Linked DNA regions of Macaca mulatta. The protein of the gene in region 6 binds, or shares a complex with, the protein of the main gene of each other region. Links are inferred from orthologs where the notes say so. Each region holds a gene or a part of one and is shown on either strand. Other genes may lie near its edges.

The links.
Region 1: the proteins of SNAP25 (region 6) and VAMP2 are in contact, whole or in part, in a crystal structure (PDB 1SFC), measured with the Rattus norvegicus proteins. The link is inferred for Macaca mulatta from reciprocal best matches to the Homo sapiens genes SNAP25 and VAMP2. Residues at the interface, in NP_112253.1 of Rattus norvegicus: Gly131, Gly132, Phe133, Ile134, Arg135, Arg136, Asn139, Leu150, Glu151, Ser154, Ile157, Gly158, Leu160, Arg161, Ala164, Leu165, Met167, Gly168, Ile171, Asp172, Gln174, Asn175, Ile178, Asp179, Ile181, Met182, Ala185, Asp186, Asn188, Lys189; in NP_036795.1 of Rattus norvegicus: Asn25, Thr27, Ser28, Asn29, Arg30, Arg31, Leu32, Thr35, Gln38, Val39, Glu41, Val42, Ile45, Met46, Asn49, Lys52, Val53, Glu55, Arg56, Lys59, Leu60, Glu62, Leu63, Arg66, Ala69, Leu70, Gly73, Ala74, Gln76, Phe77.
Region 2: the proteins of SNAP25 (region 6) and NAPA are in contact, whole or in part, in a cryo-EM structure (PDB 6MDM), measured with the Rattus norvegicus proteins. The link is inferred for Macaca mulatta from reciprocal best matches to the Homo sapiens genes SNAP25 and NAPA. Residues at the interface, in NP_112253.1 of Rattus norvegicus: Glu37, Lys40, Asp41, Ile44, Arg45, Leu47, Asp51, Glu52, Glu55, Gln56, Arg59, Glu62, Gln152, Asn159, Met163, Asp166, Glu170, Thr173; in NP_542152.1 of Rattus norvegicus: Lys122, Glu155, Glu156, Ser157, Asn158, Ser159, Ser160, Asn162, Pro196, Leu197, Leu198, Tyr200, Ser201, Lys203, Asp204, Ala234, Phe235, Ser236, Arg239, Ser268, Ile269, Ser270.
Region 3: the proteins of SNAP25 (region 6) and RPH3A are in contact, whole or in part, in a crystal structure (PDB 5LOW), measured with the Rattus norvegicus proteins. The link is inferred for Macaca mulatta from reciprocal best matches to the Homo sapiens genes SNAP25 and RPH3A. Residues at the interface, in NP_112253.1 of Rattus norvegicus: Glu38, Asp41, Ile44, Arg45, Leu47, Val48, Met49, Asp51, Glu52, Glu55; in NP_598202.2 of Rattus norvegicus: His617, Ser618, Ala621, Ile648, Ser649, Ala650, Lys651, Gly652, Leu655, Tyr659, Leu662, Lys663, Lys665.
Region 4: the proteins of SNAP25 (region 6) and VAMP3 are in contact, whole or in part, in a crystal structure (PDB 5KJ8), measured with the Rattus norvegicus proteins. The link is inferred for Macaca mulatta from reciprocal best matches to the Homo sapiens genes SNAP25 and VAMP3. Residues at the interface, in NP_112253.1 of Rattus norvegicus: Asp147, Leu150, Glu151, Val153, Ser154, Ile157, Leu160, Arg161, Ala164, Leu165, Met167, Gly168, Ile171, Asp172, Gln174, Asn175, Ile178, Asp179, Ile181, Met182, Ala185, Asp186, Asn188, Lys189, Ile192, Ala195, Asn196, Ala199, Thr200, Met202; in NP_476438.1 of Rattus norvegicus: Ser15, Arg18, Leu19, Gln21, Thr22, Gln25, Val26, Glu28, Val29, Ile32, Met33, Asn36, Lys39, Val40, Glu42, Arg43, Lys46, Leu47, Glu49, Leu50, Arg53, Ala56, Leu57, Gly60, Ala61, Gln63, Phe64, Ser67, Leu71, Lys74.
Region 5: the proteins of SNAP25 (region 6) and SYT1 are in contact, whole or in part, in a crystal structure (PDB 5KJ8), measured with the Rattus norvegicus proteins. The link is inferred for Macaca mulatta from reciprocal best matches to the Homo sapiens genes SNAP25 and SYT1. Residues at the interface, in NP_112253.1 of Rattus norvegicus: Lys40, Asp41, Ile44, Leu47, Val48, Asp51, Glu52, Glu55, Gln56, Arg59; in NP_001028852.2 of Rattus norvegicus: Cys277, Arg281, Lys288, Val292, Leu294, Glu295, Asn336, Tyr338, Asn340, Arg398, Arg399, Pro400, Ala402, Trp404.

Annotation. Positions count from the first base shown.
Region 1 is NC_133421.1:9,677,680-9,681,802, reverse strand, and holds the start of VAMP2 (vesicle-associated membrane protein 2), read left to right. Parts: upstream 1-1,323; 5' UTR 1,324-1,424; coding exon 1,425-1,426; exon of another isoform or gene 1,427-1,859; coding exon of another isoform or gene 1,860-1,867; intron 1,868-1,941; coding exon 1,942-2,062; intron 2,063-2,545; coding exon 2,546-2,704; intron 2,705-2,787; coding exon 2,788-2,839; intron 2,840-3,447; coding exon 3,448-3,464; 3' UTR 3,465-4,123. UniProt on the Homo sapiens protein: Involved in the targeting and/or fusion of transport vesicles to their target membrane. Major SNARE protein of synaptic vesicles which mediates fusion of synaptic vesicles to release neurotransmitters.
Region 2 is NC_133424.1:60,010,145-60,014,396, reverse strand, and holds the start of NAPA (alpha-soluble NSF attachment protein), read left to right. Parts: upstream 1-1,452; 5' UTR 1,453-1,580; coding exon 1,581-1,678; intron 1,679-4,252. UniProt on the Homo sapiens protein: Required for vesicular transport between the endoplasmic reticulum and the Golgi apparatus. Together with GNA12 promotes CDH5 localization to plasma membrane.
Region 3 is NC_133416.1:120,035,655-120,039,951, forward strand, and holds the start of RPH3A (rabphilin-3A), read left to right. Parts: upstream 1-1,497; 5' UTR 1,498-1,786; intron 1,787-1,916; 5' UTR 1,917-2,037; intron 2,038-4,297. UniProt on the Homo sapiens protein: Plays an essential role in docking and fusion steps of regulated exocytosis.
Region 4 is NC_133406.1:233,015,685-233,019,184, reverse strand, and holds part of VAMP3 (vesicle-associated membrane protein 3), read left to right. Parts: intron 1-2,633; coding exon 2,634-2,792; intron 2,793-3,500. UniProt on the Homo sapiens protein: SNARE involved in vesicular transport from the late endosomes to the trans-Golgi network.
Region 5 is NC_133416.1:86,055,938-86,060,210, reverse strand, and holds the start of SYT1 (synaptotagmin-1), read right to left. Parts: upstream 2,801-4,273; 5' UTR 2,447-2,800; intron 1-2,446. UniProt on the Homo sapiens protein: Calcium sensor that participates in triggering neurotransmitter release at the synapse. May have a regulatory role in the membrane interactions during trafficking of synaptic vesicles at the active zone of the synapse.
Region 6 is NC_133415.1:73,737,030-73,740,529, reverse strand, and holds part of SNAP25 (synaptosomal-associated protein 25), read left to right. Parts: intron 1-80; coding exon of another isoform or gene 81-198; intron 199-365; coding exon 366-483; intron 484-3,500.

The DNA.
Region 1 (4,123 bases), on a different chromosome or scaffold from region 6:
CACCTTCCAGGGATGTAGTAAGCACCCCCACCCCAGGTTCAAAGGGCCTCGCCTAAAATGCCTCCTGTACCCTTGAGGCTTGCTTTGATCCCCTGCACTCCACCAGAGCGACAGCTCCCCTGGTCCCATCTTCTCTGACAAGCTGGGTGGGAGTGTACACAGCCTCTGGGTGTGCTTAGAGGGCCTAATGGAGATAGGGATAATCTTCCATGTTATCCACATCAAGCCATTTAACGAATATGGATTTAGTATCTACATATGCAATGTATTTGGGGTCCAGAGAGAGGAGGGCAACTGTCCAAGGTCACACCTGCGAGGCGAATACGCATGTAAAGCAGCACCTTGTAAACTGTACCCACTGTGCCTACTACTAAAGAAAAAAAAATGAGAGAGAAAAAAGCCTTTTGGTCCCTGTGCCTGGGACCAAAGCCTGAGCCCTCTCCTGCAGTTGGGGTCGCTGACCCAAGCCTGGGGCAAAGCTAGGTCTTGGCCAGTCAGCAGCCACCACGTGAAGCAGCCCCTGCCCCCATCAGCCCCGGCTGCCTTGTGCCCTCCTCCTCGGGGTCTTCAGCTCACCCCACCTCAGTCGGGCCTGCTCCAGCTGTTAAGTACCCCTGGTCTGAACCTCAATCGTGAGGCGGGGCACCCCCCTCCTCACACCCTGTAGACACTCCCCGGTCCTCCACCCCCTGGACTTGTTTCGGCGGGAAGAGCCTGCCTCATCTTTTCTTCCCACCCTCCTACCCAGTGGCCTGGGATCGCAGGCTTCCTCTGAGACATCCACCAGCGGGGTGATGGGTTGAGACCAACCTCCTCCACTCCCCTCCACCCTAGCAGCAGGGTCCCCGCTCTCGATATTGCCCCAGCGCCTGTACTGACCCTCTCTGATTTCCCAACCCCAGCCCATTCCCAGTGCTGAAGGCGGGTCGCTAGGTGCTGGGACCTGGGCGCGGGGCGAGACCTTGGGCTGTGTGGGATGCAGGCTGGCTTATTGGGTTCACGATTCAGGGAGTGGTCTGGGGGTTAGGTGCGGGGCCAGGCTGCTGTGTGCCCTAAGGGGCAGGTGGCAAGAGGTTTGGGGGCGGCTGTGGAAGGCTGTGCTCAGACAGGGCGGGGTGACGGTGGGTTTAGGGAAGCCGCAGCAACCCGCCTGGTGGTCCCGTGAGTGCCCAGAGAGCTGCCGGGGCACGGTGGCGCCAGACCCGCAGTCCCGCCCGGCACGACCCCAGTCCCGCAGCGCCCCGCCCCCGCGGCCCCGCTCCCGACGCGTCGCCCGCGGCGCCCCGCCCCCGCCCGCAGTGCCCGGATGCGGGTGACGCGCGGCCGCCATCTTTCCGTCCCGGGCAGCCAGCGCCAGTCGGAGCCAGCGCGAGTCGCCGCCGCCATCACTGCTGCTGCCAAGTCCTCCACCCGCTGCCCCCGCCATGTGAGTCGGCCGCCCGCCACCCTCACCGCGCTTCCCTGCACCGGCCGCCGCCCTTGGCAACCGGCCGTGGGGAGTGCCCGGGGTCTCTCCCGCGTTCCCCGCGCCCCGGGGCCAGGCCCAAGCCGGTGACTGCGCGCGGGCGGCCGAGAAGCCCAGCGTCTCGGGCTGGCCGGCTCGAGCGATGGCCGCGGGAAGGAGCGGACCCTGTGTCCTCCTGCCGCGCCCCGCCCCTGTCACCGCGGCCGCCTGTCTTTTCGGGTCGACCCCGATCACATCTGTGAGGTCGCCCTCATTTGACAGGCGGGGAAACTGAGGCCGGGGGGAGGGGAGGCCTCGCTCAAGGTCACGCAGCTCATCGGTGGCGAGGCTGGACCTGGACCAGGGCTTCCATCGGGTGGCCTTCCTCCCGAAAAGGAGGACTGGAGGGACGAGGATGGACAGGTGGATGGGCGGAGCCCTGGCTGCAGGGCCGGGAGACTGCAGGCCCTGGGTCTTAATCCGTCCCTGCTCCTCAGGTCTGCTACCGCTGCCACGGCCCCCCCTGCCGCCCCGGCTGGGGAGGGTGGCCCCCCTGCACCCCCTCCAAACCTCACCAGTAACAGGAGACTGCAGCAGACCCAGGCCCAGGTGGATGAGGTGAGTGTGGGGGGAGTCAAAAGCAGTAGAAAGGACCCTGGGGGTTGGCGTTTAGGTGTAGGGGCCCATGTTGGTTTGGGAGTGATGACAGTTCACGCCTGTGGGTTTGCGGACAAAGATACTTTGCCCCATCCGTGTCTCCCTGTCAGCACGCACTTGGAAGGGTGCTGGGGGTGTTAATCAGCTTTGCTAGCCTGGGGTGTGCCAGCCTAGGCAGGTGTGCTCTGGTGATGGACAGAGCGCCTGAGGCGCCATAGAGGGAGGGTGTTGCTATGATATCTGAGATGTCACCAGCAATCCCCTGATGTGTGCTCCTTGCATGTCCCCAGGTGTGCTAGGCATGTACTGTGTGTGTCCTTGGCATGTTAACCTGGCAGCATCAGGGTGCATGTTCCATGTGTGGCACGGTGGGCACATGTTTGAGGATTGCCCTCATGAGGTGGGCCTTGGCACACCCCCTTGCCCCGTGGGCCCTTCTCCCAGGTGGTGGACATCATGAGGGTGAACGTGGACAAGGTCCTGGAGCGGGACCAGAAGCTGTCGGAGCTGGACGACCGTGCAGATGCACTCCAGGCAGGGGCCTCCCAGTTTGAAACAAGTGCAGCCAAGCTCAAGCGCAAATACTGGTGGAAAAACCTCAAGGTAAGGATGGGGACAGGAAGGAGGACTGGCAGGTGAATGGGGTATCATAGTTAGTCTCGCTGATCCTCTCCTCTCACCCCCAGATGATGATCATCTTGGGAGTGATTTGCGCCATCATCCTCATCATCATCATAGGTGAGTAGGCTGGGAATGGCCGGGGCCCTTTCCCTGGAGAGGTTTCCCCAGTGGATTCTGGGTTTTGAAGGTCATTAACCTAGTTTTTACTCTTCAGCCAAAAACACATATAGCTGCTAATGGCAATTCTGATTCACCTAGAGCCAAAAACTTTGATGTTATTTAGCCTGCATTTTGCCTGGTTCTTGGCAGTTTTGTTAACATTTAGAAATATAAAAGTTGGTGTATCCATTGAGGACCCTTTGGGCCTAAGAGCCCAATCTGAGAGCCCTGGAATTGAGGAGTGGGAGAAAGGAAAGGCCCAGGGGCTTGAGACATGACCAGGAAGCCAACCACCCCATTATTTGAGAGCTTGTGGCCTCAGGCTCAGAGGATTAGGGTATGTGGCCTCAAGGCCATACCATGGAACTGAAGGGACCTCATAACCTACCTGTCTAACCCCTTGCTTTGTAGATGGAGAAACTGAGTCCAAGAGAGGGGTAGGGGTGCCAGCCAGCTGGGGAGTGGGGAGGATTGGAGCAGGGCCAGGCCTGACACACTGCTTTCTTTCTTTCTCCCTCTCTCTCTCCCCTCTCCCTCTTCCTCATCTTCTTCCCCTCTCTCCACAGTTTACTTCAGCACTTAAATCCCTGAGGAGTCTGCCCTGCCTAAAGAAGGGCCTCTCCCCCCACCCTCAGCCGTTCCTCCACCTCTCAGCCATATCTTTCAGCCCCCCTTCCCTGGATCCGTGCGTGTGTGTGTCCGTGTGTGTGTCCCCCTGTAAATAGCCAGCTGTTATTTATACATATATAATATTATATATATTTGGTCTGTTTGTAGTTTTATTACTAGAAGATTTTTCTGGTTGTCCTTAACACCCCTTCCTGAGGTTCCCTTCACCTCCTCTCTCTTGCCTGCCTTCCCTTTCCCTTTCTTCCTGACTAGCCCCAAGTCCCTTCATTTGCATCTGCTATGCAATAGTCCCTCTCCTCTCCTTCTTCTTCCCTCAGATTTAGCTGATCCTTCCCCCCACCCTGGCCTTCCTTTCCTCCTCCCTCTCCCGGTCATGCTCCCTCTGCCCCGCCCTCAAAAAAGACCACAAAAAACAAAAAGCATCTGTCCAGGCTTCCTTAGGTGCATCTTGTTTGCATCCAATGGGAGGCTCTGAGACTGGCCCCACTTGGTCCTAAGAATCCCAAGGTCTTTGGGAGTGTCCAGCATGTTAAGTAGCGTATCATTACATACTGCCATCCCTTTCCATTTCTTTTTGTTCCATCACTCTTCTCTCAACTGGTGTTTCTTTTT
Region 2 (4,252 bases), on a different chromosome or scaffold from region 6:
CCAACTACTCAATTTTCTGGGGCAGCAGGAGGTGTGTTTGAATCTGAACTTTTTTTTTTTTTTTTTTTTTTTTTGAGACGGAGTCTCGCTGTGTCTCCCAGGCTGGAGTGCAGTGGCGTGATCTCGGCTCACTGCAAGCTCCGCCTCCCGGGTTCACGCCATTCTCCTGCCTCAGCCTCCCAAGTAGCTGAGACTACAGGCGCCCGCCACCACGCCCGGCTAGTTTTTTGTATTTTTAGTAGAGACGGGGTTTCACCATGTTAGCCAGGATAGTCTCAATCTCCTGACCTCGTGATCCACCCGCCTCGGCCTCCCAAAGTGCTGGGATTACAGGCTTGAGCCACCGCGCCCGGCCTAACTTTTTTTTTTTTTGGAGACAGAGTCTTGCTATGCTGCCCAAGGCGGGACTTGAACCGGACTCAAACTCCTGGGCCCAAGCGATCCTCCCGCCTCCGCCTCCCGAGTAGCTGGGATTACAGGCACCAGACACCGCGCCCATCTTCGAATCTGAATTTTTTAACACGCTGTCTTCAGCTTTTTTTTTTTTCCTAAGTCTCACTCTGTCACCCAGGCTGAAGTGCAGTGGCACGATCTCGGCCCACTGCAACCTCCACCTCCTCGGTTCAAGCGATTCTCCTCCCTCAGACTCCCGAGTAGCTGGGATTACGGGCGTGAGCCACCACACCCGGCTAATATTTGTATTTTAGTAGAGCGGGGTTTCGCCATGTTGGCCGGGCTGGTCTCAAACTCATGACCTCAGGTGAGCCGCCCGCCTCGGCCTCCCAAAGTGCTGGGATTACAGGCGTGAGCCACCACGCCCGGCCCTCTTCATCTATTTTTTATGAAACCAGAGTTAGAGAACCTCTTAAGTTTTTGTTTCCAGTCTCTCAACTACTTCACCGGTCTCCCCAAAGCAGTTCCAGTACTGGCCGGTAGAGGGAGCAAGAAAAAGCAGAACGGTTTCCTTTTCCCACAAACGCTTTTCCAAGTGAAGAAACGGGCGAGACCAGCCGTGGGGCGGGACTAAGCTCTGCGCAGAACTGTCAAACCCGGGCTTGGGCCCCGAGTTGTCACGTGAGTGTCCGCGGTCAGCTGACTCTGCCGGAGTACTTCAGGGAGGGCGCGGGGTGGCCCCCCTAACAACGCGAGCCGAGGGCTGCTGCTGATTGGTGGAGGAGCATCCAGCGGCAACACCGTGGGGCGGGGCCTCGGCGGTGAGTATTGCCATTGCCTTCCGCAGGGTCACGTGGGAGGTGAGGTACAGAGCGCTGAGGAGAAAGTGGGGCGTCGTTGTCCTGTGTGTGCGCATGCGTTGAGGTCTCGGGACGCCGATTGGGGGGTCCCGAGTCACGGGCGGCTTGCGGCGGCTGGTGGGGGCGTGGCCGGCGGAGCGGGCGCCGCGCTACGAGGCCTCTGGTTGGCCAGCGCGAGTCACGTGATTCCGGGCCGCAGGCGCCGCGCGCCGGTGCGACGTCAACGCAGCCGGGCGACTTCTCCCGATCTGTGTTCCGCGGCCCGGCCGCGGCTGAGTCTTCCCAGGGCCAGTGTCGGGCGCTTTGCTGAGTCCTTTTGTGGCCGCCATGGACAATTCCGGGAAAGAAGCGGAGGCGATGGCGCTGTTGGCCGAGGCGGAGCGCAAAGTGAAGAACTCGCAGTCCTTCTTCTCTGGCCTCTTTGGGTGAGAACCGGGCTGAGGGGTCGGCCGGGACCTAGGCTGAGAGGACGAAGGAGTCACGGTCGGAGGTGGCGGGTTAGGGCACGCAGAGCTCGGGCCGAGGGGACGGAGAGGAACCTGGAATGAGGTGACTTGGCCTGAAGCGGCAGAGGCTACACAGGCTGAGGGCCAAGAGCCTGGGCCGGGGCAACACGGTTTGAGGAGAGACGGTCTGACATGGCGGAAGGGATTTGGGCTGAGGACACACGGACAGAGGCGACCCTGTCTTGAGGCGAGGAAGGGGACCCAGGCCGAAGACAGGCCAGCGGGAGGGGGAGAACCTGAACCGAGGGAATACGTCCTGAAGCCGTGGAGGGGACCGGCTTGGGGGCAGGGAGGGAGTCCGCGAGATAAGCCAGGTCCGGAGGCTTTTCAGAGCTCTAGGGGAATGTGAAGGCTCTCGGGCGGCAGTGATGGGGCCTGGGGCTGAGGACGCCTGCCCGAGGGACTGACCTTTTCATCCCCCGGGGCAGTGGATTTGCGTGGGCCCTGGGCAGTGAGGGTGAAGGCTGAAGGGGGCTGACACCTTTGGAGGGGCTCAGGGCTTAGATGATCCTAGGAGCAGTGAGCTGCGTCTGAAGTGTGGGGGGTGCCTGGGGTGAGTACGGCCCTGGTTAGCAGTGACTAGTTTAAGGACAGCTGAGCGGAGGAACCGGGATGATGGAGTCAAGACTGTGGCGGTCTCAGCCCTTTGGGAGGCCGAGGTGAGTAGATCATCTGAGGCCGGGAGTTCGAGACCAGCCTGACCAACATGGTGAAACCCCGTCTCTACTAAAAATACAAAAATTAGCTGGGCCTGGTGGCGGGTGCCTGTAATCCCAGCTACTCGGGAGGCTGGGGCAGGAGAATCACTTGAACCCAGGAGGCGGAGGTTGCAGTGAGCCGAGATCACGCCTCTGCACTGCACTACAGCCTGGCAACTGAGTGGGACTCCGTTTCAAAAAAAAAAAAAAAAAAGGGAAAGAAAAAAACCTGAGGAGGCCTGGGTTGAGGCCGGAGACTCCTGGGTGGGGGAACGCGTGGTGGTGGCTTGGCCAAGGAGATGGAGGGATAACAGGGAGAGACGGGGACTGAGAGAATCAAAACTGGGGATCAAATTCCTGCTGTGTGATCCTCGAGTAATGGGGATGACAGGAACATGCTGAGAAGAGGGATGGGAAAAGGCTTGGGAGACAGAACTAACGCATGTGACATGGCATAAAACTCACGGTAGCTCCTAAAAGCTGACACCACCATCCTGTGATAATTTTAGTGGCTTAAAAGTATTAAGAGCCCAGGTTTGAAATGTGGCTCTGCCACTTACTTCATGACTTTGGGTAAATGGTTTAGTCTCCCTGTTAAAGGAGATCACAAATCTAACCTGCCTCCCATTTGCTGTGAGTGTTAGAATTGAGCCTGGCGTGGAGTTACATCTCTGAGAGTGTTAGCTATTGTTAATGTGACTTCCCAGAAGGAAACAGGTTTGGAGTGTGCAGAGAGCTGATGGGGTTCAAGGTGGGCGCCCGAGAGGAGAGGTCTGGGAGGGGTCAGGAGAGGGAGAGACAGAAACATGGGTGTGCTAAGAGGAGCTGAAAGGGAGCAGTAAAGGGAGCCACGAAGACTTAGTAGGGTTGAGAGGAGCATGAGGCTCTGGGCAGAGGAAGTAAAGGGAGTTTGGCAGGGGGTGGTGGTGTGTGGGGGGGTGGGATCTGTGCTGATGGGGGGACCCGAAAAGGTCAAGGGGAGGCTGTGGAAACTGAGGGGAGGACTGGGAAAGGACTAGTGGACCTGTAGAGAGAACGGTCTGTGGTGGCCCCTCAGAAGCAGAGCCTGGGGAAGTTGGTGGGACTGGGAGTGTCTGCAGAAGGCTGGAGAAGGGGGTTTGGGAGGAGGGCCTGGGGATGGGAAGAGACTGGGGTAGGAGCCTGGCAGAAGCTGGTAAGACACAAAGGGGAGGGATCTTTCCAAGAGAGGAAGGAACAGGAAAAGGGCTCTGGGCCACGCCCCTTGTTTGAGGTTGGATAATGTTTAGCAAAAGAACTTGAAGAACATGATGGTGAATTGCCTGGTGTGGAGAAACATCTGGGGCTGATGGACTGTATTGATTAGGTGAAAAATATTTTATTTTAGAGGCTGCGAGGAGACAGAGGGTGTGTGTGTGTTTTCTTTTTCTTCACAAGGGGAGAAGTTCAGGTGCTGTGTTTGGGGGTGGGGCCACGAGCTGGATTTTTGGTGATAGTTTTCCTAGGTGGCTCTGGGTGTCTGGTCCCTTTGGCCCAGGGATTAGTGGGCTGTTGGACTGTGTGCTTGGAGGGAGCAGCTAAGTCAGCCCCAAGGCACTTGCTACCTGGTTGGGAAGGCAGGATGCACAGCAAACGCTAGTAAAGTGGAATTACCTACTGTAAGGAAGGGCTCGATTATATCATTCCTGTGACTCTGAGCTCAGAGGAAGCAGTGTGAACCAGGGGGAAGCTCATGGTGAGGAGTGAGCTAGGTCCCAAGGAACCACAGGACTTGCTGGGGAGTGGGGCCAGGGAGGGTGCTCTAGGCAGCAGGGAT
Region 3 (4,297 bases), on a different chromosome or scaffold from region 6:
GAGGTGGGGTTTCATCACATTGGCCAGGCTGATCTTGAACTCCTGACCTTAGGTAATCCACCCACCTCAGCCTCCCAAAGTGCTGGGATTACAAGCGTGAGCCACTCAGAGACACTGTCTTGAAAAATTGTTTTTAAAATGAAGCTCTAAATGTTTTCATTTTAACTCCTGTGTCTCATGGGGAGAAGTAAGTGACAAATGTGGTAGTTAACCCTGGGCCATCTGGATGGGAAGCTTTAGATGTGAGTCTCCAATAGAGAGAGTTCTCCTTCACTTTGCAGAGAAGTTCTAAGCAGATCTTGTTCTGTTTGATATTTCCTGGCCTTTTTCCAACATGAGCCCTTTCCCAAAGTTAGCAGGAATAGGACCCTTGAGTGCTGGAGCACTGGGAGCCATGGGAATCCATTCCTCTTTACATATTTCCCCTTTTGATACTTTTATTTCATTGTCCGTATAGCGATTTCATTTCAGAAAGCCAGTCTGGATCTTTCAGGGAAGGGTCTTTGGCCAAGGCTCAATGGTCTGATTTAGACTTAAAATTTCCCTTCATTCCACTCAAACCACATGCTGAAGGGTGAGGTTGGCCCATGCCATCCTAGGTGGGCTGTCAATTCCTTTATTGCTCTGTCCAAACATTTGTGTTGTAGGACAGGTTATGGATCATGAAATCATGGTGGTTCACAGCTTGAGTATTCTTATTGTTGCATTTTAACCTCTTGCTTCCTATCTTTAGGAAAAATGAGGTCATTATACTATCATTTTTACAGATGGGACTTGGAAACATTAAATGACTTTTCTAGGGTTGTAAGGGGGCTGTATCTGGCTTCCAGAAGATTGTCAAGTGCTTATTCAACTAAGCCATCCTGCCCCTTAGAAATTTCCGTTTCTTACGCCTCAGCTTTTCTGCCCCGAATTCTGAGAAACTCCAGGTATAGGTCAGAAATCTGCAGCAATGGGGGTGAGGACAGGTCAGCTGGGCAAAATTTTGAGGGGAAAAACCACTTAGGGAGCCCCGTACACTGGGGCCAAACTCTTGTCTGAGCAGAGAGGAGCAATGCAGGACTGGGGGCGTGTGGGAGACAGGGGCTGCGAAGTTATAGCTCCTTTGCTCTGAGAATGAGCGACGGTATTAGAACAAGTGTGTGGTAGGTAAGCTGTCACCGACTAGACTGTGTGATGTCGAGAAGTCCCGTCCCCCACCCCTCCGGACTCCCCCTTCTCTGCTCTAACCATCCAATTACTTAACTTCTCTGCCTAGGGGTTCGCTTCCCGCCCATCTCGTCCTCCACCGCATCTTAGCGCTGTCCGTGGTGCTGACCGCCAATCCCCTGGTTGCCGTTTCGACCAGCTGGGATCTCTGGTGCGCCCAACCTCCCCTCCCGGCCTCCCACCTTTCTTTCTCCAGGCACCGCACACATAAATCACGGGTGGGAGGCAGGCTTGGTTCCCGCTCGGTTCCCCCTGCACTGGGAAGCTGCCGCCCCGGTTGCCTTGCTCACACAGGGCTTTGCAGTAGTGGTGGCAGCCGCGGCAGAAACCGGCTCTGGGGAAGCAATTGATTCGTCTACTGCCAGCAGCCCGGAGTTGCCTACGCGGACTGGAAAGGAAGGCAGAAGGGAAAGAGAGAAAGAGAGAGAGAGGGAGAGAGAGAGAGAGAGAGAGAGAGAGAGAGAGAGAGGCGTACAGAGCGAAAACCTTCATCCATGTGGAGGACAGTCTGAGGGAGCCACTGTCCCTTGTCCACTGACTCACTGGCTGGTCCGAGTTTTCTCCGCTTCTGGCAGTGGTATTTCTTTTTGTCTTGGTCCTGCATGATTTAGGGGTAGTTGATGTGTCTGTGTGTCTGCGTGTGTGCACTGGTGCTTTGATTTTATTTTGGGAAGAGTAGGAGACTCAAATGAACAATTTTCTTTCAGGCACCTCCGCTGAGCTTTTGAACCAAGTCATTGGGACTTAGCGTCTTCCTACCCGGCAGGGAAGGGAGGAGTTGGCAAGAATTTGGTTCACCCTTTCCCCCTGCAATCCTCCCGCGTCGCGGTAAGTGATATTCTCCTTGGTTGTGCAGATGGGCTAGGGGTATTAGAATCCCAATTGTGATGTGTGTGCATGAGCTGGTGGGGTAAAGGGTAGTTGGGAGGAGAAGGGTATCGAGGAACGACTATGCTTATTTGCCTACATTCTGCAGTGTTTTATCACCTAAGCGGCATCCCAAAGCCAAATGAGATTTTGGCTTAGTGCCCAGGGAGGGGGTAAAATGTGCTCATGTTGTAGGCAATGCGATCAAGATTGTGGCTTCTGCCCAGTTTGCCCTCTCCTTTGCAGCAGAACCTGGTGAAAGTAGCCGGCAGTTCTCTGAAAGAGTTAACCCTTTGTGGGGGTGGCTAGTCTGGCATGGAGGAACTCTGGGTATTCTGACTTAGCAAGTGAGTGCTTATCCCTGGAGGGGAGGGGGTCACCTGAGACTGGAAGGGTAACTCTTGCCTGAGCACACTGGGTAAGATTTGCACAGGACAGAGCTTAGATTGTACCCAATTCCAGGAAGAGCTGAATAATTTAATTGTGATGGTTTTTGCGAGGTTGGCTGTTCCTGCTTTCCTGAGATGGGAGACGTGGGAGCCAGGAAAGGGCCACACTCTGCTTAGGATGAGTGGTCAGACTGGCCAGAAGGGAGCAGCCACTGCCTGCAGAGGAGATGATATTTTATTTTCACAGGTGGCGTAACCTGTAAGTGATTGTATGGGGAAGCATCCTGGCACTAGCTTGGGAGATTCTATCCTTGAGTTCGTCTCACAAGGAAGGAGGGGAAAAAAGCTTGTTCAAATTCTGGGGAAAGATTCCAGGTTCCAGCTTCAGTTTTGTTCCAGGGTAGACCATCCCCCTGCACTAGTTTCTTTTTCCAAGATCCTGATGGGGAAAGGCTGCACCAACCTGTTAGTGAGTGGGAAGTGGAAGTACCTTGAAACTGAATCCAAAAGCTCACATTTAATTTTGAAATGCCTTTGATGCTAATCTGTGACCCATCAAAAGGGGATTTCACCTTGCTTTCTGCTTTGATTACATCTACTTTTCTGGAAATGAATGCCCTTATTTTCAGCATCTTTGCTATTATCTCAGGGGCCAACTCAGTGTTCTGCACCCCCAAGGATTTCCTTTTTAGATTCTTGCTCTTGGAGGTGGGAGGAATAAAACAACAGTCAGAGATTGGCAAGCCTGAAATATAAGCAGGGTTCACTCACTCCTTTTTTCTCTAGCCCCATAGCCAAGAAGAGATGCTGAAATCCCAGAGCATGTGCCTGCTCAGGCAGGACATATGAGGCAGAAGGGGAGGGTTGTCCGGTGGTTAGTGCCAAAGATTTGGTACTCAAAATCCCTAACTTCTCTTCCTAGTTTCCCTTGCTGGGTGACCTTGAGGAGGAAGTTGCCTTAGATTCCTCACTGGGAAGCCTTGAATGTGAATAATGAATGTATGGAAATTTTGTTCGAATAAAGAACCACAGATCTGGCTATGGGTGATATTTAAAGTATTGAAATTTGGTACTAATTGATCAGAATGGCTAGGGTCCTGGAATAGGGGATCTTAGGGGAGCCCTGCTGTACTCAGTGTTAATCTTTTAATTGCTAGATTATGGAGAGGTTTGGGGGATCTTAGGGGGCTGTCAAGAGAGCCACGGAGGCCTCAGGGGAGCCTCCCCATTTAATTTTAATATTTTCATATTTTTATTTTATTTTAATGTTTTAATAGTTTTAACAACTGGTTTAGTCAATCGGTACATGCCAGCCCAGCTGGGATAGCTAAGACTTGGGTGCCCAGATGTGGACACTTCCCAAATATCTCTCCACTGCCTCACTTCCTTAGGGTTGGCCAAGATCCAAGAGGCCGCCCTCCCTCCTCCCCCGTCACATTTGAAGTGGTGCATTGTTGTGCACCAGGGAGAGGGAAACAGAAGCTTCTGGAAAGAGCTTTGGACTTGGATCAGGAAACCTGGGTTCCAGTCCCAGCTGTCTCCCCTTTCTGGGCCTTGGTTTCCCTGTCTATGCCATGGGGCAGTCTGTCTGGGTGGCCCTAAGTCCCCTTCCAGTTCTGGGGTTCTCTGACTCTGAGATAGGTATGTGTGTGAGTGTGAGTGACTGCACACGCCCACATTTCTAGGAACGGTTAGCACTGTGCTTGAGAATTTATCCTGTGTCGGGGAGAGGCTCTGTTTGGGGTGAATGGGGATAGGGGAGTCTCTTGTGAGAACTTTGCCAGATTTCTAGAATCCTGAGCTCAGCTGGAAAGGGGTCTGCTTTATTTATG
Region 4 (3,500 bases), on a different chromosome or scaffold from region 6:
CCTGCCTGAAATTTCTGTTGACTTACAAAATCAAATTGGAATTTTTTTTAACCAAAGGAATTTTAAGGAGGGTTGTTTTTTATTGAGGTGAAATTACCATAACATACAACTAAACATTTTAAAGTGTATATAATTGAGTGTTATTTAGTATATTCGTAATATTTTGCAACTGTTACCTCTTTCCATTTTCAAAACTTTTTCATCACCCTAGAACACTTCATACCCATTTAGTAATCATTCACTATTTCCCCTTCCTCCCATTTCCTTGTTACCTCTAATCAGCTCTCTCTTTCTGTGGATTTGCCTGTTCTGGATATGTCATATAAAAGGAATCATACAGTATGTGGCCTTTGGCATCTGCCTTCTTTCACTTAGCACAAAGTTTTTCGCATTCATTTAAGTTGTAACGCGTTGTACCATGTTCCTTTTTATGGTTGAGTAATATTCCATTGTATGTGTATACACAATGTGTTGAGCCATTCATTTGTTAATGAGTCTTTGAGTTGTTTACATCTTTCAGCAATTATGAATAATGCTGTTATAAACATTCACAGGAAAGATTTTGTTTAGACATATGCTTTCATTGATCTTGAATATATACCTAGGAGTAGCATTGCTAGGTCATAGTAACTGTATGTTTAATTTTACGAGGAACTGCCAAATTGTTTTCTACAATAGCCACACCATTTTATTTTCCCACCAGCAATGTCCAAGAGTTCCTGTTTCTCCACATCCTTGCCAACACTTGTTTTCCATTTTGATTATAACCATCCTACTGAGCTCTTTGGGTTTTCATTTGCCTTTCTCTAATGATTAGTGATGGTAAGCATCTTTTCATGTGCTTATTGGCCATTTATATGTCTTTAAAGAAATGTCTGTTCAGGCTTTGCCCATTTTTTAATTGGGTTGTTTTTGAGTTGTGAGAGTTTTTTATGTGTTCTAGATATTAAATCTTTCTTTAGTAGACATGTGATTTGCAAATACTTTCTCCCATTCTGTGGCTTGTCTTTTACGTTCTTCAAAATGTTCTTTTTTAATTTTTATCTTTTTTTTTTTTTGAGACAAGAGTCTTGCTCTGTCACCCAGGCTGGAGTGCAGTGGTGCAGTCTCAGCTCAGTGCAGCCTCCAAGCCCCGGGTTCAAGTGATTCTCCTGCCTCAGCCCCCAGAGTAGCTGGAATTACAGGCACCCACCGCCTTGCCCAGCTAATTTTTTGTATTTTTAGTAGAGACAGTGGTTCACCATGTTGGTCAGGCTGGTCTCGAACTCCTGACTTCAGGTGATCCACCTGCTTGGGGCTCCCAAAGTGCTGGGAATATAGGCATGAGCCACCGCACCTGGCCTGATAATGTTCTTTGATGCACAAAAGTTTTTAATTTTTATGAAGTCCAGTGTATCTGTTTTTCCTTTTGTTGTTCTTGATTTCAGTATCAAATCTAAGAATCCACAGTCAAATCCAAAGTAATGAAGATTTACCCTTATGTTTTCTTCTAAGAGTTTTATGGCTTTAGCTCTTACACTTAGATTATTGATCCCTTTTGAGTTACTTTTTGTATATAGGGTGAGGTAGGGATTCAACTTCATTCTTTTGCATGTTGGCTCTTCAGTTGGCCCGGCACTGTTTATTGAAAAAACTGTTGGATGGCCTTCGCACTCTTGTCAAAAATCAATTGGCCATAAATGTTTTCTAGTTTTCATTGTCCAAGTCATTCGCCTTTTGGTTAAATTTATTCCTAGGTATTTTATTCTGTTGGATGCTATTGTAAACACAATTGTTTCCTTAATTTCCACCTCAGATTATTTGTTGCTGGTGTATAGAAACACAACTGATTGCTATGTGTTGTTGTACCCTGCAACTTTGCTGTATTTGTTAGCTCTAGCAGTTTGTTGTGGATTCTTTGGTATTTTTTATATAAAGAGAATCATCTGCAAATACAGATAGGTTTATTCTTTTTTTCCAATTTGGATGCCTTTTCTTTCTCTTGACTAATTGTTCTGTTCAGAGCTTCCAGTACAGTATTGAGTGGCAGTGTGAAAGTGAGCATCGTTGTCTCGTTCCTGATCTTAGGGGGGAAGTCTTTCACCATTGAGCATGATATTAGTTGTGGATTTTCCCATAAATGCCCTTTATCATATTAAAGAAATTCCCTTCTATCCTTAATATGCTGATTGTTTTGATGATGAAAGAGTGAGCTCATTTTTTTTAAAGCGAAAGTTTGGCTCAAAGTAATAAAGTGCTGACCTGAAAGAACAATGTGCCCATAGATTGTCTTTGAAGTCTCTGTGCCTCTATTTTTTTTGGGACGGAGTCTCACTCTGTCGCCCAGGTCGAAGTGCAATGGCGCAATCTCACCCACTGCAACCTCCGCCCTCTGGGTTCAAGTGAGTCTCCTGCCTCAGCCTCCTGAATAGTTGGGATTACAAGCACCCAGCACCACGCCCGGCTAATTTTCTTATACTCTTAGTACTGAGACAGGGTTTCGCCGTGTTGGCCAGGTTGGTCTCGAACTCCTGACCACAGGTGATCCACCCGTCTCGGCCTCCCAGAGTGCTGGGATTACAGGCGTGAGCCACCACACGTGGCCCTATTCCTCCATTCTTTGTGCATTACTTGTTGTGATCACACTCATCTAGGTGGTGGACATAATGCGAGTTAATGTGGACAAGGTTCTGGAAAGAGACCAGAAGCTCTCTGAGTTAGACGACCGTGCAGATGCACTGCAGGCAGGCGCTTCTCAATTTGAAACGAGTGCAGCCAAGTTGAAGAGGAAATATTGGTGGAAGAATTGCAAGGTAATTATCTTTTAACTCACCTTTACATTTAAGCCCCCTTCTCCATTCTCAGAGAATTAACAGGCTACAGATAATGGACTTTCATGACTCTGGGAGGTGGGTTTGATTTCCTCCACATGGAAATGTGGGTCCACTGTGAATCTGAAACACTGACTACATACCCTTTCCTAGCCTCACCCTGGGAATCCTCTATGTGTTGTGGCTGATCTTCAGAAGATGCACGTAGAACAAGAATATCCAAAATCACTCACAGTCATCAGCCCCTCCCAACCCTCTACCCCAGCAGGGCCCCAAACACATAGGAGAGGGCTGGAATTGGTTAGTTTTCGTGTAGTTCTGTGAATGGTTCCAAGGTCAAGGGAAAGAAATGCTAGAAAGCCACAGTGTGCCCAACAGAAGAGTAGAAAGCAGCCCGCCCAGGAGCACAAGCCAAAGCAGATTTTATACAGTCAGTGAGTCAGCGTGCTGCGACCAGATCCAGATGTATCCTGTCCTCTGCCTTGTTTACAAGTGACACTTTGAGACACAGGGCAAGCTGAGCAGCCTTTCCATATGTGGAAAACTTGTATACACACACAAATGCCTAGCTAGAGGCCACACATCATTTGAACATCTTTTAAAAAGCAGGGAAGTTACCTTCAGGCCCTAATTGAGAACATTTAATTTAGGCTTTAGAAATTATGAATTCTTCCAGACTGTAAGCACCTG
Region 5 (4,273 bases), on a different chromosome or scaffold from region 6:
GGAGAAAAAAATAAAGACTGTATAAAATTGTGACATTAGACTGTTTTGTCGGATAACAGAACAAGAATTTCCTATAATGTATCATTTAAGGTCTCTCCACAATCCACTCACAATATATTGGAATTAGTTCTGATTTCCAATATATAGATATTGAATTTTTTAGAAGTATGTGAAAAACTACTGATATCCATCTTTTTAGATGTTATTTCTATAATTAACATTTGTAAAGAGTCATGAAAATAAATGTCACAAACCAAGCCTAAATTTTCACATATTCCTAAGACAGTGGAGAAATGAGACAACAAAATCTTATTTTTCTCACATGAAGTCAGCTGGCTTCCTTTTTGTACATCTTTTCGTGTCTAAACTTGTTAATTCAGTTGTACATACACATGAGGTAATTAAGTGATTGTTCCTTTGTCCTTGTAACCAAAAGGTGGCACCTCTAAAAACCAGAGTTAGCTTTCAACAGAGACAGTATTTTTTTTAAGTCATTTAAATGTCAAAGCCCTAGAAAGAGAATCCTTTTTCCTGACTTGGTAATTCTGCTTAGGTCGGAGGGATCATTGCCTCAAATGCAAAATGGTTTGGAAATAGTACACATTACGCTGATGGCAAATGAATCCAGCTCTTCTCTAAGTTGGTGTGTAAACTTATACATTAAAGATACATAGTGAAAAAATACTCTCTGAGATACAAATTAGTGTAGAAGGTCAGGCAGAGTTAGGATAGAAGATTCCCTTTTCTTATATCAAGTGGACTTCTAGAAAAAAAAAGTAAGACTGCATTTCCCCTTATACATAAAAATAAGTGTTTTGTATACTAACATCTGCTGATTTTTCTGTGTTCAGGTAAGACCCACTTGGAATGCTTTCCTATTACATCAAACGAGGCACTTCTCTATACCTCCTTCCATCTGACAGTACTATCGCTTCTCTGTCCCTGATGAATACTAAGAAAATAAAGCTTATATCCCCAATGATGGAATTAGAGACTGCTGAAGCTGCTGTAAAGGCTCTGTCCAACAAGTACCATTTACTTGACCTATTATGCAGGCAGCCAGGGGCATGTTGCTGTTTTGATATATTTTTCTTTCTTTTAACAAGACGTTACAAAAATGTTTTCCCCTTCAGGATTTTTAAAATTTAGGCTATCTTTCTAGCATTACTTTCTAAACTTTGTTCCAATACAGGAGGATTCTTGTCCAGCTGAGCCTCCATGTGCCTTCTAAAGGGAGTGCTGAAATTGTACAAACATCATGTTTACATCCATTAAATATCCTCCTATTAAAAGAAAATAAAGCCAGGCATAAGTTTGGTATCCAGACAATAAAATTCAAATAGATAGTAGAAAGGTAGAATAAAGTGAAAATTCATACACAAATGTAGCTTCCACACAAAAGTTAAACAGTTGCTTTATTTCACCAAAGGGTTAATACTGGAGAAAGTGAACATCAACATGTACACAAAGCTAACTAGAAGATTAGCTTTCTCAAAGTAGAAATCCAAGCCTCCCTATAAAACTGTTGTCCCTTGCAAATGTTTTGAAACTTTACATTTTTTGATCCCCCAACAACAGACCATACCAAGAAACCTCAGGAAAGTAATAATCTATTTTTAATTGTGTTTTTTTTCTTACTCAAGAAACCTTTCAAAGTTCAGATATTAACACTGATGTGCAATACCAAATTGTCAGTCCCACAGGACAGATGGAAACAGGAAAAGTCAGATGGTTGGCACTCAAAAGCAACAGCAATTAAGCAGTTGAAAGTGGGTTGGATTGTCGGTTTATTTTTGTTCCATTTGAACGAATCAAGTGAGAGACATAGTCTCTTGCAAGGAGGAAATCAAGTCAAACTTGACGCTTCCCCTCTCTGACAGCCCAAGCTGGTCGGCTTGTCTACTCCCCTTATTCAGTTTAATTGCTTTCTGTGCTCTGATTTTCGCAGAGATTGTATTCTATCTTGTTTACGCCCCAACCCACCCACCCCCATATCCCTCTCCCCAACAGAAAGAAATCTTTCTCCTTTCTTCACTCCCCCTCTTTCCTCTAAGAAAGGCAATCCTCTCCAGGAGGAGAAAGAAACCCTGTGCGTGCTTAGGGTGGGAGGAGGGCGAGAGGGGAGGTGTGGGAGAGAAAGAGAGAAAAGATTGAGATTGGGGGCGGGGGACAGAGGAGAGAGAACAAGAGAAGGAAAGAGGAAGCAAGAAGATGGGGGATGCCCAATATCAACTCCAAGCTCTAAATCACGGGCGCTGTGCAAAGTGCTTTTCCAGGAGATGCACATGTGGTCTCATATTTCTCACAATAGGCCACCCGGGGATCCCTCCCTAGGTCTCAGACTCCCACCACTAAAATCCAAGTGTATCGAGAAGAAAATCTTTGGGATGGATTCGAGCAGATAGGCACCGCCGAGGTGGCCGCGCCGCCAGTCCCGCTTCCTTACCTGGAGGGCGGACCGGGAGGTGGTGCCGGGTCTCAGTCCCCAGTGCTCTCCCGGCGTGGACCGGCGCGAGGCACACGCGTGCTCTCGCTGCCTCCGCTCTTGGAGGGGCAGCCTGCAACACAAAAGGGGTGTGTGGGTGTGGGTGTGTGGGAGGTTTTCCAGGGCCACCAGCTGGTCCCAGCTGGTCGCCCCCACCCTACACACACCCCTTCGGGGCGCCGAGCCCCCCTCTCGGCTGAGCACCACCCTGGGGGCTTGCCCGGGGTGCAGCCTCAAGTTGCCGCTGCTAACTGCTGCTGCCGCTGCCGCTGCTGCAGGAGGAGGTGGAAAGACACTGGGGGCAGTACTCGTTCTAAAGCATCCCCACACTGCAGCTTCTCCAGGAATCCCTCCAGTGAGGAGGCGGCCGCCCATCATCTCCCAGCCCTAGCATCCTGATTGGCTCCACCTCGGCTACGCTGCGCCAAGAAGCCAATCCCAGCACACTAATAATAGGTGGATCCGCTCAGCCAACATCTCCCATCCCAGTTCTGTTAGTGTCCCTCCATCCCCACAGCGGACAGGGACCTGGGAAGCGGGGTGGAGGCGGGTTGGGGGAGGGAGTGAAGTAAGAGGGGAACAGATGCCAAGGAGACACAATCAAGGGCATCCGATAAAACCTCTGGGTAGACTCAAGAATGCCCCAAAACCTGTTCAGCAAGCCATATGCACAGGAGAAAGAGAGCGAGCATAATACAAAGCTTTTTTTTTTTTTTTTTTTTTTTTTTACTTTCAATCAAAACCTGCCCTGATACTGAGCATGCCCAGACTGCAACAGCGACCTAGGAGTTTCGACGTGTGTGGGTTTGCCAGCTGTAGGTTTTTGAAAAGCTGGGACCCGGGATAGAAGAGGCAGAAGTTTGTCTTTGGCCATTTAACCCGGCGGAGTTGTGAAAGCTGGGCAGGGTGGGGACATGAAAGGGTTCTGCACAAGTGTCTTCAAACTGAGCCGCGGGGAGGTGGCCCGCCGGGCTGCTGGAGGTTCATCATGCTATTCTTCTGGGGTTCCGGGTTGGAAGCGGGGGCGGGATAAGCTGAGCTTTGCTGGAAGCCTGGAGACTTCCCGCGAAGGGTGTGGTGTTGCGAAGATGCAGGAGAAGCAGCTCCGTCCCATAGGTGGGGCCGGGAACGCGACTCCACCCATGAGCGGCGGCTGCCAGGCAGTGGAGAGTGCACTGGGAGTTTCCATTGCAGCGACCAATAAGTTTGTAGACTTGGGTCAAGTGCGGCATTGCTGGGGATGCTTTTTATTTTTATTTTTTGCCACCTCCCTCCCCCATCTCTCTCGACCCCTTACCAGAGCAGTGACGACTAAAGCACAAATCTCTCCCTGCTTCCTCTCTTCCCAGCTGAACCGTTCTGCTCGGAAGTAAGAAGCTTTTCCCTTGTGAGGGCGGTGGTGACCTGATTGTCTCTAAGCTCTCAGGCAATTTATAGCTTGGTAATACCGAGATACCAAACAGGAAGGCTCAGCGGGTGGGGGAAGGGACCGCGCGCCAGGCAAGGGGCGGGAGCGGAGCCCACCTGGGAGAGGGGCCCGTCCATTATCTGCTCCACAGGTGAAAGGCTTTCAAAACGCAGAGAACTATTTCTCTTTCTCACTCCCTCAACCTCGTTTAAAGGCCTTTGAACCTCTTATTTGTTTTACTTAGAAACCCTAGCATTTTGTGTAAACTTGATCAATAGCTACAAATGAGAACTCACCTAATTGGGTTCTTTATTTTACTGAGAAGATTATCTTGGCATCTCAGGTAGGGAAATAAATAGCTATCTCAATTCCCCAAACCC
Region 6 (3,500 bases):
TTTCACATAGTCATTTCTCATGTTCTGTTGGAGACCCCCAAAAAATTCATTCCACACTGTCATCCCTTTGTCCTAACCAGAACAACTCGATCGTGTCGAAGAAGGCATGAACCATATCAACCAAGACATGAAGGAGGCTGAGAAAAATTTAAAAGATTTAGGGAAATGCTGTGGCCTTTTCATATGTCCTTGTAACAAGTAGGTACTGGGTACCAGCTCTAATCTGTGGCGTCCAGTTTTCTTTCTTTCTTTTTTTTTTTTTTCTTTTTTAATGTCAAAGTGAATGTCTGAAGTTTTGTCTTTTTTTTCTTTGTCCTTTTCCATCTGCTTCATTCTGTGGGGATAAAATACTTGTGTTTAATCAGAACAACTGGAACGCATTGAGGAAGGGATGGACCAAATCAATAAGGACATGAAAGAAGCAGAAAAGAATTTGACGGACCTAGGAAAATTCTGCGGGCTTTGTGTGTGTCCCTGTAACAAGTAGGTGCTGCCTGCCTGCCTGAAGCTTTGGTTTCCCAAGGCCCATCTCCAAGCCTTGACAAGCTCATTCCTGCCAAGCTCATAGGCAGGATGAGCATGTGGCATGCAGAACAGATCAATACCGTCTCCAATGCATTCATCTCATAGCATAGATGATATTAGCAGGAGTTACTGTTGATGCATTAAAAATCAGGCATACTACAGTGAAAGCTTCACTGTCAGCAACTTTTATTGATGAACGTTTCAACATTTTCCGGAAAGTGTACCTTGAGACAGAGGCTAGCCTCAAGAAAGAGGCACCCAGGGAACTTCCTTTTCCCCAACCCCAAGAGTCAAAATTGCAGGTTTAGAAAAGGCTGTGGGTAAGTTTGGAAGATGAGAAACACATATGTGAAGGTTTGATTTTTTCCAAAATAAAAGAGACAGGTAATTTGGCCCAGGGAAGCATTCTATAAATTAGAGAATATGACAGAGATTCTCCCTTTCTACTGCCCACCAGTTGCCAAATTTGGTCGATAGATGCTGCTGCTGTACCCAACACAGAGGCAATGAGCTCTTCAGCAAGAAGTGTTCAAGCCTTACTCAAATTGGACCCATCCCTCCCAAATTTTTCTCCTTGGAAGATCTACCCGTACACTGGCTGAAATGTTGAAATGTGTAGATTTTGCATGCACAACATCACAAAACATTCAACTGTTCTCAAGGTTCTGCAACGCTTTTTTGGAATGTAGCAGAAATGTGACATGTGGTTATAAAGGTTTGCAACGGAAGGAACCTAATACTGAGGGTTCTGGAAGATTGTCTCATTTGACTAGTGGTGGAAAAAGAAATGCATGAGTGGATTGTCCAACATGCATTTGGAAAATTAGACTCCTTATCCAATCTCCCTCACCCCTCCCACATCCCCCTTTTAAAAGAAGACTTTTTCCTAAAAGCTCTCCTGATCCTAGCTTTTAGAATAGAAATTGACGTCATTTTTAGCAGATTATATGACCATTCACATCCTTTAAACTTTGAGGCTGATTTAAAATATCCCACTTCCTGTTTAGGAGGGGGAGGGGCTCAAATTGCAAAAAAAAAAAAAATAATAATTTGCTTTTTAAAGAATGATCTACAGTAAAGCCTGATTAACTGGAATCTAGCTAACTGGAAACCTCAGCTGCATGCTCTTGCTCCCTTCCATTTTTAGCAAAAAAGAAACAAAGAGAAAACCTCACATCAGAAATGTAAAATGGTTTTACTTCCAGGGTAGTTCGAATTGTCTTGCTTAGTCTCCATCCTCCTGCAACTTCCACATCTATGACGACCAAACAATAAGAGTTGATCTTCACAGAAAAGGCCATCAAGCAATCAATATAAATGATAACCAAGGAAAGATTCAATCAGGTCTTCTACCTTAAGACTTTCAGGCAGGAAAGTGGCTCAGAAGTCTAGCAAAGATATTCACTCATCACCCATGAAACAAAACTTTCCTCCTTGGCCCCACTGTTCATTAAGAAAGTCATATAATTCATCAAAACAAAACAAAACAAAAACCTCATTACCAAGCATTCCAGTTAGTCAAGATTTGACTGTATATTCCTTTCCGTGGCAACTTGCCCCCAGGTGAGATTTCCATCCATTTCGTGATAAATTCCAACAGACACATTTTCCCCCCTTCATCAACTGTGTGTGAAGAAAGGGTGGAGGCAGGTTCCCCTGGGATGGATTCTAATGTTCTAATGAAATGATGGCTCCTACGAATTCCACATTTGAGTGATCACTAATTTCCTTAATGCACAAGAGACCCTAAACTAAGCTTCAAAGCTTGACTGAGGTGTTCCCTATTGTGTGTAAATAATGCTTTAAAAACCATGTGTCACAACGCAGTGGCTGGTGGTGCCCTGGACTCTCTGAGGGCTTCGCCCTGTCTCGGCATGTTTCAAGGGACTATGGTAGATGTACGGCAGTGATGTGAGTCTATGTGCAGCATTGTGGGTGCAGTGGTTTGCCTTCTTTCAGAAACGCATACTTCCCACTCATTTGACTTTGCCAAAGATGGTATAGCAGACATTTGACATAGCAGAAAACATCACGAAGTCCATATAACTTTTTTTCATCTGAGGAGGGAGGAGATGGGGAGTTGGAAAAATAACAATTAAAAAAGCCAGACTCTAAGCCCTATTAAATTTAGTTTGGGGATCTTGTTTCATTGAATGGGTCCATGGCCCTTTGGTGCAATAAATTTTGACTGCACTAAGGCCTGCGGCTTGATTGTGGGAGTTGCTGAAATTCTATTGGTACAATTTTCCAGTTTGTCTCTAGGGTTGCTTGGTCCCCAGTCTGCAAATATTAGAGCCAGTTTTAATAGATGGCTGTGGTCCTCTGGTGAAAGAAGAAAATAAAATGTTAAATTCTGGTGTCTTACACAAGAAAATGTGAAAATGGGACCAAAGAATGTCTCTTGTTTTTGGACTAAAAAGCATGTGGTTTCTACTATGTAAAGAACCTAAAAACATCTTTGATTGCCTTTAATTACAACACCCACCAAAATATGCTGCACATGTTTCTATTGGGCACAATAGGTATGCCTGGATTTGTAAGTTTTTCTCCAAGGCAGCTCAGTGCAATACAGCCCATGGAGACCATACCAGCATTAAACCACTCTCCTCCATTACAACACCAGGATAGTTTAAAGTAGCAGTTTGTAAGCACTCTCCACCCTGCCCCTCAGCCCAGCAAAGAAGCTACCGAACCTGCGTTTCAAATCCTCATGAAGGCTATTACTGTCCTGCTAGTGCCTTTTTCGAGAATGGTCAACTTCTGGAGTAGTTTGGCTTAAATGAGAATGCTTCACTTTTTACTCATGCCTGTAGCTGGTGCATGAAGAAGACATAGAGGGGTTTCCCTTTTTGGTGCTAGATGGCTTGTTCTCTCTTCTATTTTCCTGCATTCATTTCACTATGCTTCTTTTACTTTTTGTCTCTGTGGACAAAGGTTTGTACATCAACTCTGGATGTATGGTGACTGTTTGGAAG